Linked DNA regions of Schizosaccharomyces pombe. The protein of the gene in region 1 interacts with the protein of each later gene in a biochemical or structural test. Each region holds a gene or a part of one and is shown on either strand. Other genes may lie near its edges.

What was found. The genes of interacting proteins can lie anywhere in the genome.
Region 2: the proteins of cdc27 (region 1) and cdc1 form a complex in vitro, tested with the Schizosaccharomyces pombe proteins (3 studies listed by BioGRID).

What each region holds. Positions count from the first base shown.
Region 1 is NC_003423.3:1,059,314-1,067,011, forward strand, and holds cdc27 (DNA polymerase delta subunit Cdc27), read right to left. Parts: upstream 4,112-7,698; 5' UTR 4,065-4,111; coding exon 4,011-4,064; intron 3,962-4,010; coding exon 3,906-3,961; intron 3,850-3,905; coding exon 3,683-3,849; exon of another isoform or gene 3,629-3,682; coding exon 3,561-3,628; exon of another isoform or gene 3,505-3,560; coding exon 3,397-3,504; exon of another isoform or gene 3,323-3,396; coding exon 2,657-3,322; 3' UTR 2,405-2,656; downstream 1-2,404. Other genes in the region: pre-rRNA processing protein Esf1, read right to left, coding at 209-2,257; fol1 (dihydropteroate synthase), read left to right, coding at 4,887-7,088.
Region 2 is NC_003424.3:4,011,773-4,017,057, forward strand, and holds cdc1 (DNA polymerase delta small subunit Cdc1), read left to right. Parts: upstream 1-3,277; coding exon 3,278-4,418; exon of another isoform or gene 4,419-4,467; coding exon 4,468-4,715; 3' UTR 4,716-4,785; downstream 4,786-5,285. Other genes in the region: SPOM_SPAC27E2.14 (uncharacterized protein), read right to left, coding at 750-839, 891-905; msm1 (methionine--tRNA (Met) ligase), read right to left, coding at 4,806-5,285.

The DNA.
Region 1 (7,698 bases):
TCCGATATTTTTATATTCATACTTATGTAAAAAATAATCTAATATTTTACACCATGTAAATTAACGTGCTTTCATTCTAAAATCAAATAAAATTCAAAACAAATATATTAGCAAACCAAAAAAACCCCGTTTTGACCAATTTATATGTACAAAATCAAACTCTATAAATCCAATCGTTCAAGAGGAAAAACAGAGTACAATTTCTAATTTATTTTCCAGAACGTTTAATAGATTTGACAATGCGATCAAGTTCTTGACGTTGATCTCCTTTTTCAGCTTTACGCTTTTTGATTTTAAGCTCAGGCTTACCGTCTTGTGTTTGTTCCAATTGATTTGAGCGTCTTTTACGACTTTCGTCCATAATTTTTTCCACCGTTTTAGTACGTTTGAAATGAGGATTTGTTGGATCAAGTGCAAAATTATGGTTAGTATATAGAGCAGCAAAACGTGGGTCACTGACATCAGCTTCGAATCCTTCCTGCAAGCCTTCCAAATTGGAGGCTTTTTTCTTAAGCTTGCGATTCTTCTTAAACTTTTCAGCCTTCAGTATACTCTTCATGTCAAAATGATCGAGCTGCTCAGAATCGTTTTCATCTTCACGAACAAGGTTTTCCAGTTCTTCTTTAGACGCGGCCGTAGGATCTTCAATTTGAGTATGCTTGCCCTTTTTGTTTTTCTTATTGTTACGACTAGCATCCTTGTCCTTAAAGAATGGATCATCAAAACCAAGATCAACGTCGGATCCTTCACCTTCATCGTCTTTTGTTTTCTTAAGCTGTCTCAATTCTTTCCGTCTTTGTTTTCTTTCAGCGGCCTTACGCTTGTATTTTTCAATAGTGGTTTCATCTTTTTCCGAAGAGTTCGCATTGTTATCAACATCAAAACCTGAAGTAAAAGTAACCTCCATCTCACCATTGGCGCCTTCAAGTTTGTCATCATCCTCAAAAGGGTTACTATTCGCTTGGAAGTCATCAGCATCACCACTTAATAACTTTTGGTAACGAGAACGAATAACATCTACATCCTCATCTTCAGATTCACTTGAGGCAATGTAAGCGCTAAAGTCTAAATCTTCAATATCCTGAGAAGTAAAAGCCTTTTTAATTAAATCCTTTCTGTGTGGATCCTCAGCATCCCACGAAAGTTTAACTTTTGAATGTTGCAATGCATCGGTGACAAAATCTCTCGGCTCATATTTTTCGGGCGCTTTAGTACATACTTCGCGAGATTCATCGTCGTCAAATGTAACATCATCTGGAATGAATCTTAAATCGTAAATATTAGCGCTAGTTTCATACTCAGCGCCATCACAAGTTTCGTATATAACCTTTGCCGTTCTTACACTATCACATTCCACTACTGCGTAATAGTAACGAAGCCTTTCTAATTGATACTGGCGTAATTTTACCATATCAAACTCGTTGCCTAAATCCTCCTCTATTAAAGCATCTTCCTCATCTTGATCAGACTCATTGTTATCAAAACCAAATTTTTGAGCCTCATGCAATTCGGCGCTAGAAGGTTGATTGTCAGCTGGAGTAAATATATCACGTGGAGGACCCTGAACATGTTCCGCAGCCATTCTGGATTTTCCAAATTCACTGGGATAAATCGACACTTTCAGTAACTTCCCACCAGGAGGACAAAAAGAAGAAAGAGCAACAAAAAGATCAACTGCTTGAAGATTATCCCAATCCATGTTTACTACAGCAAGACGGTTAGTTTCTGAACCACGAGGAATATTCTCTTCTGGCTCGATTCCAGCTAATTCGGATATCTCCGGTTGAGCTTCAGTTTCACTTTCAGCGTCGCTTTCATCGCTACTTTCCGAAGTACTAATAATTCCCTCACCACGAGCTGGATCATATACTTCCTCATCTTCGGACTCCTCATCGGTTAATTCTTCCGATTTTGTGGATTTCGAAGACGCTGAAGCGACTTCTTCGTTGTCAGTAATTTCCGATGATTCAGACGAACTGGACGACCCTTCATTTTCCAGTTCATACAGTCTATCAATCTCTTTAGTAGCCTTATCTTGGTTGAGAGGACGGCCATATCGATCAACACTGGCAGTAGTTTTAAAGTCCTTATCCTCCTTGAGAGATTTAAACCGCTCATCAACTTTTACTTTAAAATTGCCACGTTTAAGTCTAGAAAATCTAGGATCAGAGTGAACTGATTGAAATCTAGGATCCGCAACTACGTTGCTTTCACTCCTTGATTTAGCATTAATAGGCTTCGTCTGCTTTTTGCCCATGACTACTTCCAATATACAAGGCTTTGACTAAATATGAAGTTCAACTTTCAAATTATGTGTTGTAGTTAACGCACATTAACGCATTGTGGTTCATTAATGTATGGAGTATTTAATACTTCTAATAAAAAAAAGAATCGATTCTTCTATGCTTTGAGGAAACATATTTATTTATGATATTTAAAATTAAAAGATGTATTGATAATTGATTTCGACTTCTCTTAGACTTACATAGTTGGTTGTGAATAGTGTAAACAAAACTAAAAACAGTAGATTAGGATTAAAGGTTGTACTAACATTAACAGTTTTTCTATATGAATAAAACTCCTGATAATAGCTTGCATGAGAATTGAAGGGACTTCGTGAACACATGTTTTAATACTATCGAAAATGAATAGTAACTTATTTCTTTCCAAAAAAGGACATAATAGACTTTTGTTGTGGTTTACTTTGTGCAGTATTCTTCTTCTTAGTTGCAATGTTTACAGTAGTCGGTTTGTTTCTAACAACATTTGAAGTACCAGTTGAGATGTTTTCATCTTCAGAAAATGATTCCCAGACTTCTTCTTCCTTAGTAACCAAGAATCCTTCTTCATCTTTCGTTGTCGCGTACTTTTTAACTTTTCTTTTCCCACGTCTCTTTCCACCGGATACGGATTTGATAATTTCCTGAGGTTCGTCAGGTGCAGCAGATTTTGCTTCGGTACCAATTTCCAATTGGAAATTATTAGAATCTAAATTATCATCTTCAGAATCGTGAACGCTAGTGGTAGATACTGATTCATCTTCTAGCTGCATAATATTTTTCAGATCATCGCGCTCTCTCTTTGCTTGCTCAGACAACTTCTCCTCCTTTGGCAAGAGAGGCTCCTTTTCTTTATGATTTTCAAGAGGAGCTTTTTTATTTTTACGAGATGAGTTTCCCTTTTGGTTCCTTGCATTACTGAAAATATCTTTCCCTTTAGTCTTTTCTGTACTACGTGTGTCAGTCTTATCGATTGTCGATGTCTTTGAGGGAACAGATAATTGGGGGGAATGAGTTGAAGGTGCCTTTTTCAAAACACGAGGCTACAATAAGTTAGTCTTCCGAAGACGGAAGGATCGAATGTCAAACAACGATTGTTGTGATATAAATTACTTACCACGGAATTTTCATTGAAAATAAATCCATACTTATCAGCATCTTCTTTTTTGTATAAAACATCTTTCTCTCTTATTTCATATACTGCAGGTAATAATTCGTCAAAATCCTTAATTAAATCAATTAGTTTGTAACAATATAAAATACAGCTTATCGAATACTTACACTTAATGGAGCAGATGAAAGAGCAAATATAACAGTTTTATACCCACTTTTCAATCTACTTTGTTTCTCTACAAATAGTTAGCGAATCTGCTATCGAATGATCGGAATTGACAATAACAAACCTTGTAGAGAAGACTTATCACACAAAATGTATTGCAAAACAGGAAAATTAGATATAGGTTGAGATTCCTCGTCAATTTCCAAATTAATTTCATCATCTATAGGTTGTCCATGAATAAGGTATATAGGATACAAAAAATCGTTGCCTTGATAAAACATATTAAGATATCTGAAAGTATGAATTATTAATAATAAAAATAAAAAATAATGCGTATTGTTCCTTACTCTTGTGCTTTTTCACTGGATATATCCAATTGCAGACTTAAATTATCTACAGTTACCTTTTATACAGTTAGACATTCAAATTCTTGTTGAAATTTCATATCTTACAAGTGAAGATTCATTGATAACTTTAATATCTAAGAAGTTTCTCCATTCCTCCATTTTTTTAGAAATTTCTTTTTCCGCTAAGTATTCCTTAGGAAAGTGGTATTTACGAGAATAAGAAGCAGTGTGTAAAATCAACGAAATTGAAAATTAGTGGGAACAATCCTAAGGTAGGCTAAGTACTGAAGCCAGCGCAGACGAAATATGTATGAAAGATTACATTTTCATTAATGGAGTATACATGCTTAACTACATTTACAATATGTAAAATATTTAAAATCTAAATATTGACATCGCATGTTCAATTACTGCTGCTATCCAGTTCATAGAAGTATGCTAATGAAAGATTTAAAATTGAATGGGAAGTTACTTCATCAACGCTGACAGAAATTGATTTAGTAATTTACGGCATTTTTTAGTAGAATGTTTTTCAAATTTTATTAATTTTGAACATGGCAATTTGATTTTTTTTCTCTACTAATTTCCTTCTGCTTTTAAGCTGATAGCGTAAGGTTGAGTTTCACAAAGTTGTTGGAATGTTTTATATTTAATCAAACTTGATTCTCCCTTATTTCTATTTTCGGGTATAATGATTTGTAGCACATTAATGTAGTCATCTGACAAATCTCTTATAATATTATTTCTCAGTATCGCTCTATGCTCCATAGAAATGATCAGAGTATATACATATTCCCAGCTGTATTCAATAATGAATTAAATTTAATAACAGTCAAATAATGCTACAATTCTTTATCCCATATGCCTTCATTTTAGATAATTGACATCAGGATACCGTAGGTATTGCTTATTCTTACTTATCATGGTGTTGGTCGCTTCAGCAAATACTTCCAATATAGATAATCAATTCTTTAAACTCTCATGAAAAGTTTAGTAAACCTTTGGGGAATCTATCCATTCATTAGAAATAATTCTCTCCATGGTTTTGCCAAAATACCTAGAATAGTCAGCACTATCCCCAGACAACTCCGCTTCTCATCTCTACGACATCCTACTAGACAAATGGACTTGATACATGACACTGTCGTAGTTGAAAATCTTAACACATTTGCTGTAGTGGGTCAAGACCAATGGAAAAGAAAGGAACCTCAGCCAGTGCAAATTGATGTATATATGAGAAACAATGTTCAGTTAGCTGGAGAAAAAGACGAGTTAAAATCAACGATTCATTACGGTATAGCTTCTAAGCTATTACGAAAAGAAATTGAAGGGTCTTTTTTTACAACCCCTAAAGATTTGGTCAATAAAATTGCAAGTTTATGTTTTGAAGACGTTATTGATACCTCGCATGTTTCTATTAAGCTTACTTTACCCAAATGTGTTTTAAGGTCTAAAAATGGATTGCACTATTATGCTGAGCGCGAACGCAATTCTACCAGTAACTTTGTAGATCGTATTGAATTCTCGGATTTGGAGTTAGCTACGATATTAGGAATTCACGCATTTGAACGACAAGAGAAGCAAAGAGTTTGCTTAAATATATCATTTGCAAATACGGAGGTCGAAGCTTTAGAGATCGCGCGCGCAATCGCCGAATATGTCGAACAATCTGCTTTCCTGACTATAGAAGCTTTGGTTGTCAATCTTTCAAAGTATCTTTGTTTTACAAAGAATCTAGACGATATAAGCATTAAAGCTGAGAAACCTAGTGCTATCACATTCGCCAATGCTTCTGCGGTGCAAATTTATCGAACACGGTCGTACTTTTTACAAGAGTCTCTGCATAAATACGAATCCACTAAGAACAAAATTGCTTATTTGTCTTTTGGTTCAAATATTGGTGACAAATTTGAGCAAATCCAAACAGCATTATCTATGTTGCATAAAATAGAGGGTATTCGTGTGTTGGATGTTTCCCCTTTGTACGAAACAGAGCCGATGTATTATAAAGACCAACCTTCTTTTTTGAACGGTGTTTGCAAAATTGAAACCAGAATGTCGCCTATCAATCTTTTAAGAGCTTGTCAATCCATTGAACAAGAAATGGGTCGAATCAAAACAATTTTAAAAGGACCAAGGTGTATAGATCTCGATATTGTCTTGTACGAAGATTGTGTTTATGAATCAGAAGTTTTGACTATTCCCCATTTAGGGCTGCAAGAACGTGAGTTTGTTTTACGTCCATTGCTGGCCTTGAGCCCAGACTTAGTACACCCTTATACCCATCAGCCCTTACAAGAAGCTCTTGATAAATTGCCTTCACAAGGAATAAGATTGTACTCATCTTTTGACAACAAAAAAATCATTAATGGCGCCTTAACAATGGGAATTTTGAACGTGACCCCCGACTCGTTTTCTGATGGTGGTAAAGTCTCGCAGAATAATATCCTTGAAAAAGCAAAAAGTATGGTTGGAGATGGTGCTTCTATCCTAGATATAGGTGGGCAGTCTACTAAACCTGGAGCTGATCCCGTGTCTGTTGAGGAAGAACTCAGAAGAGTAATACCTATGATTAGTTTACTTCGAAGCTCAGGGATTACAGTACCCATCAGTATCGATACTTATTATTCAAAAGTTGCAAAACTAGCCATTGAGGCAGGTGCTAATATTATTAATGATGTGACTGGAGGGATGGGTGATGAGAAAATGTTACCATTAGCTGCAAGTTTACAGGTGCCCATTTGTATTATGCATATGAGAGGGACACCAGAAACTATGAAAGCACTTTCAATATATGAAAAAGATATCGTTGAAGAAGTTGCTGTCGAGTTGTCGTCTCGCGTGGAAGCTGCGGTTCAGTCCGGCGTTCATCGATACAATATTATACTGGATCCTGGCTTTGGATTTGCAAAAACACCTAAACAAAGTGCCGGTTTATTAGGAAGACTTCATGAACTGATGAAAAAACCGCAGTTTAAAGATATGCATTGGCTTTCGGGTCCAAGCCGTAAAGGGTTTACTGGTTACTTTACTGGAGACGCTAGCCCCAAAGACCGTATATGGGGTACTTCAGCTTGTGTTACAGCTAGTGTTTTACAAGGAGTAAGTATTGTACGTGTACATGACACTAAAGAAATGTCTAAAGTCGTTGGTATGGCTAATGCTATACGTTACGTACCTTAATTGCTTTGTTCTAAAATTCCAAGTTTAATATAATTTTGAAAACTTTGTAAAACAACAGTTAACGTAAGAAGTTGGTTATGTTTAATAAATCAAATCCAACGGGTTATCTTTCGTCGTTGTAGACCCGAGAATTTATCAATAACCAATGTAGTATCATTTTCTGACAATGTTCACGGATATTGTTAACAATTTAATTTTGAATTGGATATCTAATATTCACAGGTTGAATAAAATTAGTTTCATTATATCATCACATATTGTAATTTTAGTTAACGAGGATTATGTTTGTAAGAGAAGAGAAAATAACTGTGGCAATTATACACGCACTTGCAGATGCAATTGTAAATTTTTTAGATATAATGAATAGTTGTACCAAAAATGTTCCTGCTTTTACTTTTTTTTAGAAGATAGACATTGGAACGCGGCTTGCTTAAAAACCTGGCACGTGCCTTTTTTATTTTTCGTGCATTGGTAAAAACAGTACTGTTTAAGTATTAATAAGCTTAAATTAATTCTTTAAATTCACAGTCTCCAATTTTTTCTAAAATTCTTGATTTTGGTATTTTTGCTTAGCCTTCGCGTTCGTTATATTTATATACTACCAACCACT
Region 2 (5,285 bases), on another chromosome or scaffold:
TTCTTTCTTTTTCGCTTGACGAAACTTGTGTGTGTGTAAACGAGCTCGGTTTCATCGACCCAGCTGAAAACTGGCTACTTTTTTAGGGTACATTATTACATACAAAAGTTTCTTGCTTTCTTTTCTTTTTAACACATAATACCGAACTTGCAAATAGCTACTAGCGAGACCGTTATACGGCCAGTCAAGTCAACGCAAATGCTCATCATATACACGTAAAATATCATCAATTGGTTTGAGCCCAACGCAATAATGACTGCGAATGTTTGCTGTTAGATAGAACATTCCTTTTACTTTTTTTTTACTTTTACGGAAAAAGTATGTAGAAAGGCAAAGAAGGAGTTCTTTACACTCACTCGCAAAATTCCAATTCCACTTTCAATTGCAAAAAAAAATGCAATCCACAATTAAACAACCTCTAAGGAGAATACAGAAATCATCGCTTCCCACCTAATATATCTCACAGCGCATCCTAACGAATACAGTACCAAATTCAATAAAAAGACAACTAAAGAACGAGGATCAAATACGGTACTGCGCTACATCTCATAGCCGAGGTATTCTAAATAGATGCCAGTTAAGGTAAAATAAGCTTCCAAAAATGCAACTTAAAAAAGAATAGATTGTTGAAATGAAAAGTATACTTCTACAAAAAGGATGTTGGGAATAATTCTGTCATACCATACCGTGAATGTCGCAGAATGTTTCAATTTCAGTAGCACTGGCATTTTATCTTTTCTGACTTATTTTCAGTCCGGCTGTTCCCTTCTCTTTTGGTGTCCCTGTTGTCTTGGACAATTTGTCACCCCAAGGACCCTTGTACTTGGTTGTTTAAACAACTAGCTCGTTAGATTGGAATTTGCTTTTCGGGAATTCTGGGACTTGCTTACTCTCCGTAACCTCATTTCTTTTCTCCTGTCTCTTGCATTTCACACACCAATCCAAACAAGTTCAGCGTGAGGACTGCTTTAACATCCGTGATCGAGCCTAGACGGTTGTCCCAATGTTTAACAAGGAGCTCGATGTACTTTTTTATTTGGTCCGTTGACTTTCCGCAAACATGCAGTGAGAGAATACGGAAGTGAAGAGAATTTCGGTAATGTATCGCACGCACATATAGGAACAAGAACAATTCATATCCATCTATGTCTCTTCCGGTTTATCTGAATGATTTGTTGCTTTCTATTAATTCGTTAACCAAGCAACCACGAGGCCCCATCATTCTGCCAAATTGACTTTCACAATCATTGCACAACTATTGCTTCAAGCTCCCTACAAGGTATCCAGTGAGTATCAATATTTTAGCAGCATCGATTTGTTACTTACTGTTTGGAAAAAAATCGGGGCAGATGAGCACAAACAAAAAGCAACAAAACTCTGAAATTTTTATATAAAACATGGATTCTCAAACTCCGATCCCACAAAATCCCTCTACTGCTTTAGTTTAACCTCAGGGGAAGCGGAAACCGACAACTGTCCGCAGAACCGTTATTGGCTCGTTTGTTCCAAACTCTAGCAGTGCGAAAGTGAAATTTTTACAGTATGCAGGCAGGTCCTTCTTGCAAGACACTATAAAGTAAAAGTTTTTTAAACAATTCGACATTCCGGCGAATGTGAAAATGTAACTGTGTGAAATGTTGACTATACAAGTGCATTAAGCAAAAGATCTCATCGTAATTTTCGATCTTCAATTTATCAAACTTTCAACCGTTTTTAAACCGTATGACCTTTTAATACGTAAACAGTTTCTCATTTTTTTTATGTTTTACTGCATTAATCACACACAATAAGATTTTATTTCCATTTCATTCAAGTTGCCAAGTTATTTCTATTTAGTATATTAACAACTAAAACACAACTGGCTGGCTATGCAAGTAATTATTATTCTCTAACATAGAGATTCTTATTTTTTTTGGTACACAAGTTTATGAGTCGTTAAAACCTTTTTAAATCGTGCAACATTGATTCATCTCAGTATACTCGATTATCCCTGTGTTCGATATCCCGCAGCTGTAGCCGATACTGAATGTTAACAGTCCACAGTCTATTTATAGCTAGCTCTCTGATATCGGACAACAGGCAATACCGCTTCATTGACCTCTCGTGACAAGCGGCTTTTTTATAAAGGATGTATTGATATCTTTGAAGAAGAAGAAAATCGGCAAGTTTTTCATTTTACTTTAAACATTTGAATTTGGTTTTGCTATTCTTGCTTTTCCTTCTACAATACTTTTCCATATGGGGTAATAGTGTGACCGATCAACATTGCGTTATTTAATATTCAGATTTCAACGGAATAAAATAAAACCTCAATTTAAATTAATGTAGTTTTGATATACATCTTTAATAAGTAATATAGTAAGATACAGAAATCACCTTAACCATTTCTAGGGCACTATGTTGGCCTACCTTTCCTCCTATTAATTAACATAATGTTATTAATTTACAATCATCAAATAAATCGAAAACCCACTTTTTATGCTATAGGAAAGGGTTTGTAGTTCATTTACTTCGTTGGGGAATTTGCTTCTTTTACTTTTGTGTGATAAAACTCGATAGACTAAATATATGGATTCATCATGATTGTTCAAGGTTGAGAAAAATGTTAATTGTATGAAACGAAATAAACCCACATGATGTTTGTTCATCCTCAATTAGTAAACATTCACCTTTATTGAGCTTCTTTCTCTTTTCGTCAAGTTTACCTCTTTGTTTACATTTAAAAAAAGATGTTCTTCAAACACTTTATTGTTGTAGGTAACAACAGCTAGTCATGTTAGGAACCACGACTTTCTCATATACAACGTATTCTTACTTGTTGATCTGCTGCATCCAACTCCTTTGCTTATTCGAACCTTCTAAACCTGGTTCCATTCCATGAAATTGATTCCCCTTAACCTTGCATAGCACACCTTTGAAGTTCCTTACTCTTTACATATGCTGCTTGTGTAAATTAGTCAATAACATTTAAAGAACTGATTTTATTGAAAAAACAACAAAAGCGTTATTATATTTATTCCTCTTTTTTTTAAACAGGTGTTTTGGGGCCGTTCATAGGTTTTTTGGGAAATCATATAAATATATATATATATATATATATATTTTTTTCCGCACATTTACTTGCAATACTCGCTCGTTTTAGTAATTGCATGAATCGTAGACAACTCTTCACTCTCCATTGTTGTGAAATTTTTCGTGGAGCATCTCGATTTAATATCCTGACTACTCCTTTGGTAAGTGTTTAACTTACCTAACTGTATATATTTACAAAATAATCATGGTTGAAGTCAGACATTCAATTCCTTGTGAAGAAACTAAACGCTTGGAGCTTAGTTTAAGTCAGCAAACGTATAGTCAACAGTACGCCAGCATCTATTTCGCCCGACTTACCGCTCTTCGACCCAGAATCACAGAAGCCGCTTCAAAAAAATGGCCGGATAAACAGCGATTGGAACGCGTTTTAGATGTTAAGTCAGATGAAGACTGTTGGGTTGTCGCTACCGCTTATATGACTACAGCTCTTAAGCCAAACGTTATGAACGATGTCACACAACTTCATACAATTGTCACCACTACTGAAGAATCTCCGTATGTTAGCCCAGAAGATGCTGCTTCAGGTGATATAGAATATGCTCTTGAGGATGACTATGGCCGTATAGATTGTAGCGGAAGCTTTTTGTATGACGCTGGCGTTGTTACAGGAGTTGTTCTTGCAGTTTTGGGCCATGAAGATGAACAAGGTCGTTTCGTTGTCGTTGACGTTTGTTTTCCAGGCATCTTCTCTCATTCCATTCCAATGACTACAGATGAATCGCAAGCTCAACCAGAGTACATTGCGGCAGTCAGTGGCTTAGGTCTCTCAAATGACGGCATAGAAGGCATTCAAGTTCATCAGCTTGTAGATTTCCTAAGAGGAACACTTCCACATGTCTCTTCCTTTTCCCCTTCCTCCATCAAAAGGCTAATTATTCTCGGAAATTGCTTAGCACCTTCTATAGAAATTGCCGACTCCGCTTCTGCGTCCGTGCCCATTGGCAAGAAAAAAGTAAAAAGATATGGCTATGACACGTCTGCTTACAATCCAAATCCCACCTTCCAACTAGATAATTTTCTTGATCAAGTGTGTTCCAGCATAGATGTCACTTTAATGCCTGGTCCTTATGATTACAGTTCAACTATCCTTCCTCAACAGCCTTTGCATCCCGCTTTACTTACTAAATCAAAAGTTTGGTTGGGATCTTCTTTACAAACAGTTACGAATCCCACTTGGCTTTCTCTTGGCAATCATTTTGTGTTGGCTACTAGCGGCCAAAACATTAATGATCTCCGAAAATATCATCCCAAAAAATCTTCACTTCAATGCATGGAAAACACTTTACTATGGAATCATATCACACCTACCAGCCCTGATACCTTATGTAAGTAATCTGTACATTTTTCAAACGATATATTTGCTAATGATTTTAGGGTGCTATCCTTTCACCGACAAAGATACATTTGTAATGGAGGAAATGCCTGATCTATATCTTTGTGGTAATCAACCGAAATTTGGCTGCAAAACAGTCATTAATGAGGGAAACAGAATACAATTGGTTTCCGTTCCCGAATTTCGTAAGACTGGTGTACTTGTTCTCATAAATATGCATACGCTCAACGTAGAAATTATTCAATTCCGCCCCATGTCAGTCAAAGCAGAGACTCCAATTACTTCTTAATGCAAAATATCTTGAATATTTAATCATGTATTTATTAAATAAATAAGTTTTTTCTTACTGTTGTCATCATAATTATCTGATCTACACGTCTCATTGAGTTCTTTTGTCAAACAAATGAGAATTATTACCACTGTGGAACGTGAACTCCGTAGGTTCAAAAACGTTAGTTGCATTCTGTAGGGAGCGCTGGTTTTTAGGAATTCCTAATTGGTCTAATAACTCAGTCGACTTGGTTGGCATTATAGGTTGTAGGAGAATTCCGCTAATGCGTAGGCTGTGAGCTACTAACATTAAAGTGTCAATCTTTTCTTGAGAATCATCTGATAATTTCCAAGGTTCTTTCAATTGAAAAAGCTTAGTGACTCTTCTTAAAACAGACTGAACAAGATTAATAACCTCGTAAACACACCCACCATCTATGCTTTGCGCGCAAACAACAGGAAGTTCTATAAGTTCGTGTACAATATCTTCGTATTCTGTAAAATCATCCTTTTTATGCCATTGCTTCTGTATTTCATTGGAAATGAACAGTTTCTTCGATTGCAATCGAGAAAGTAGCACACCTAAAGA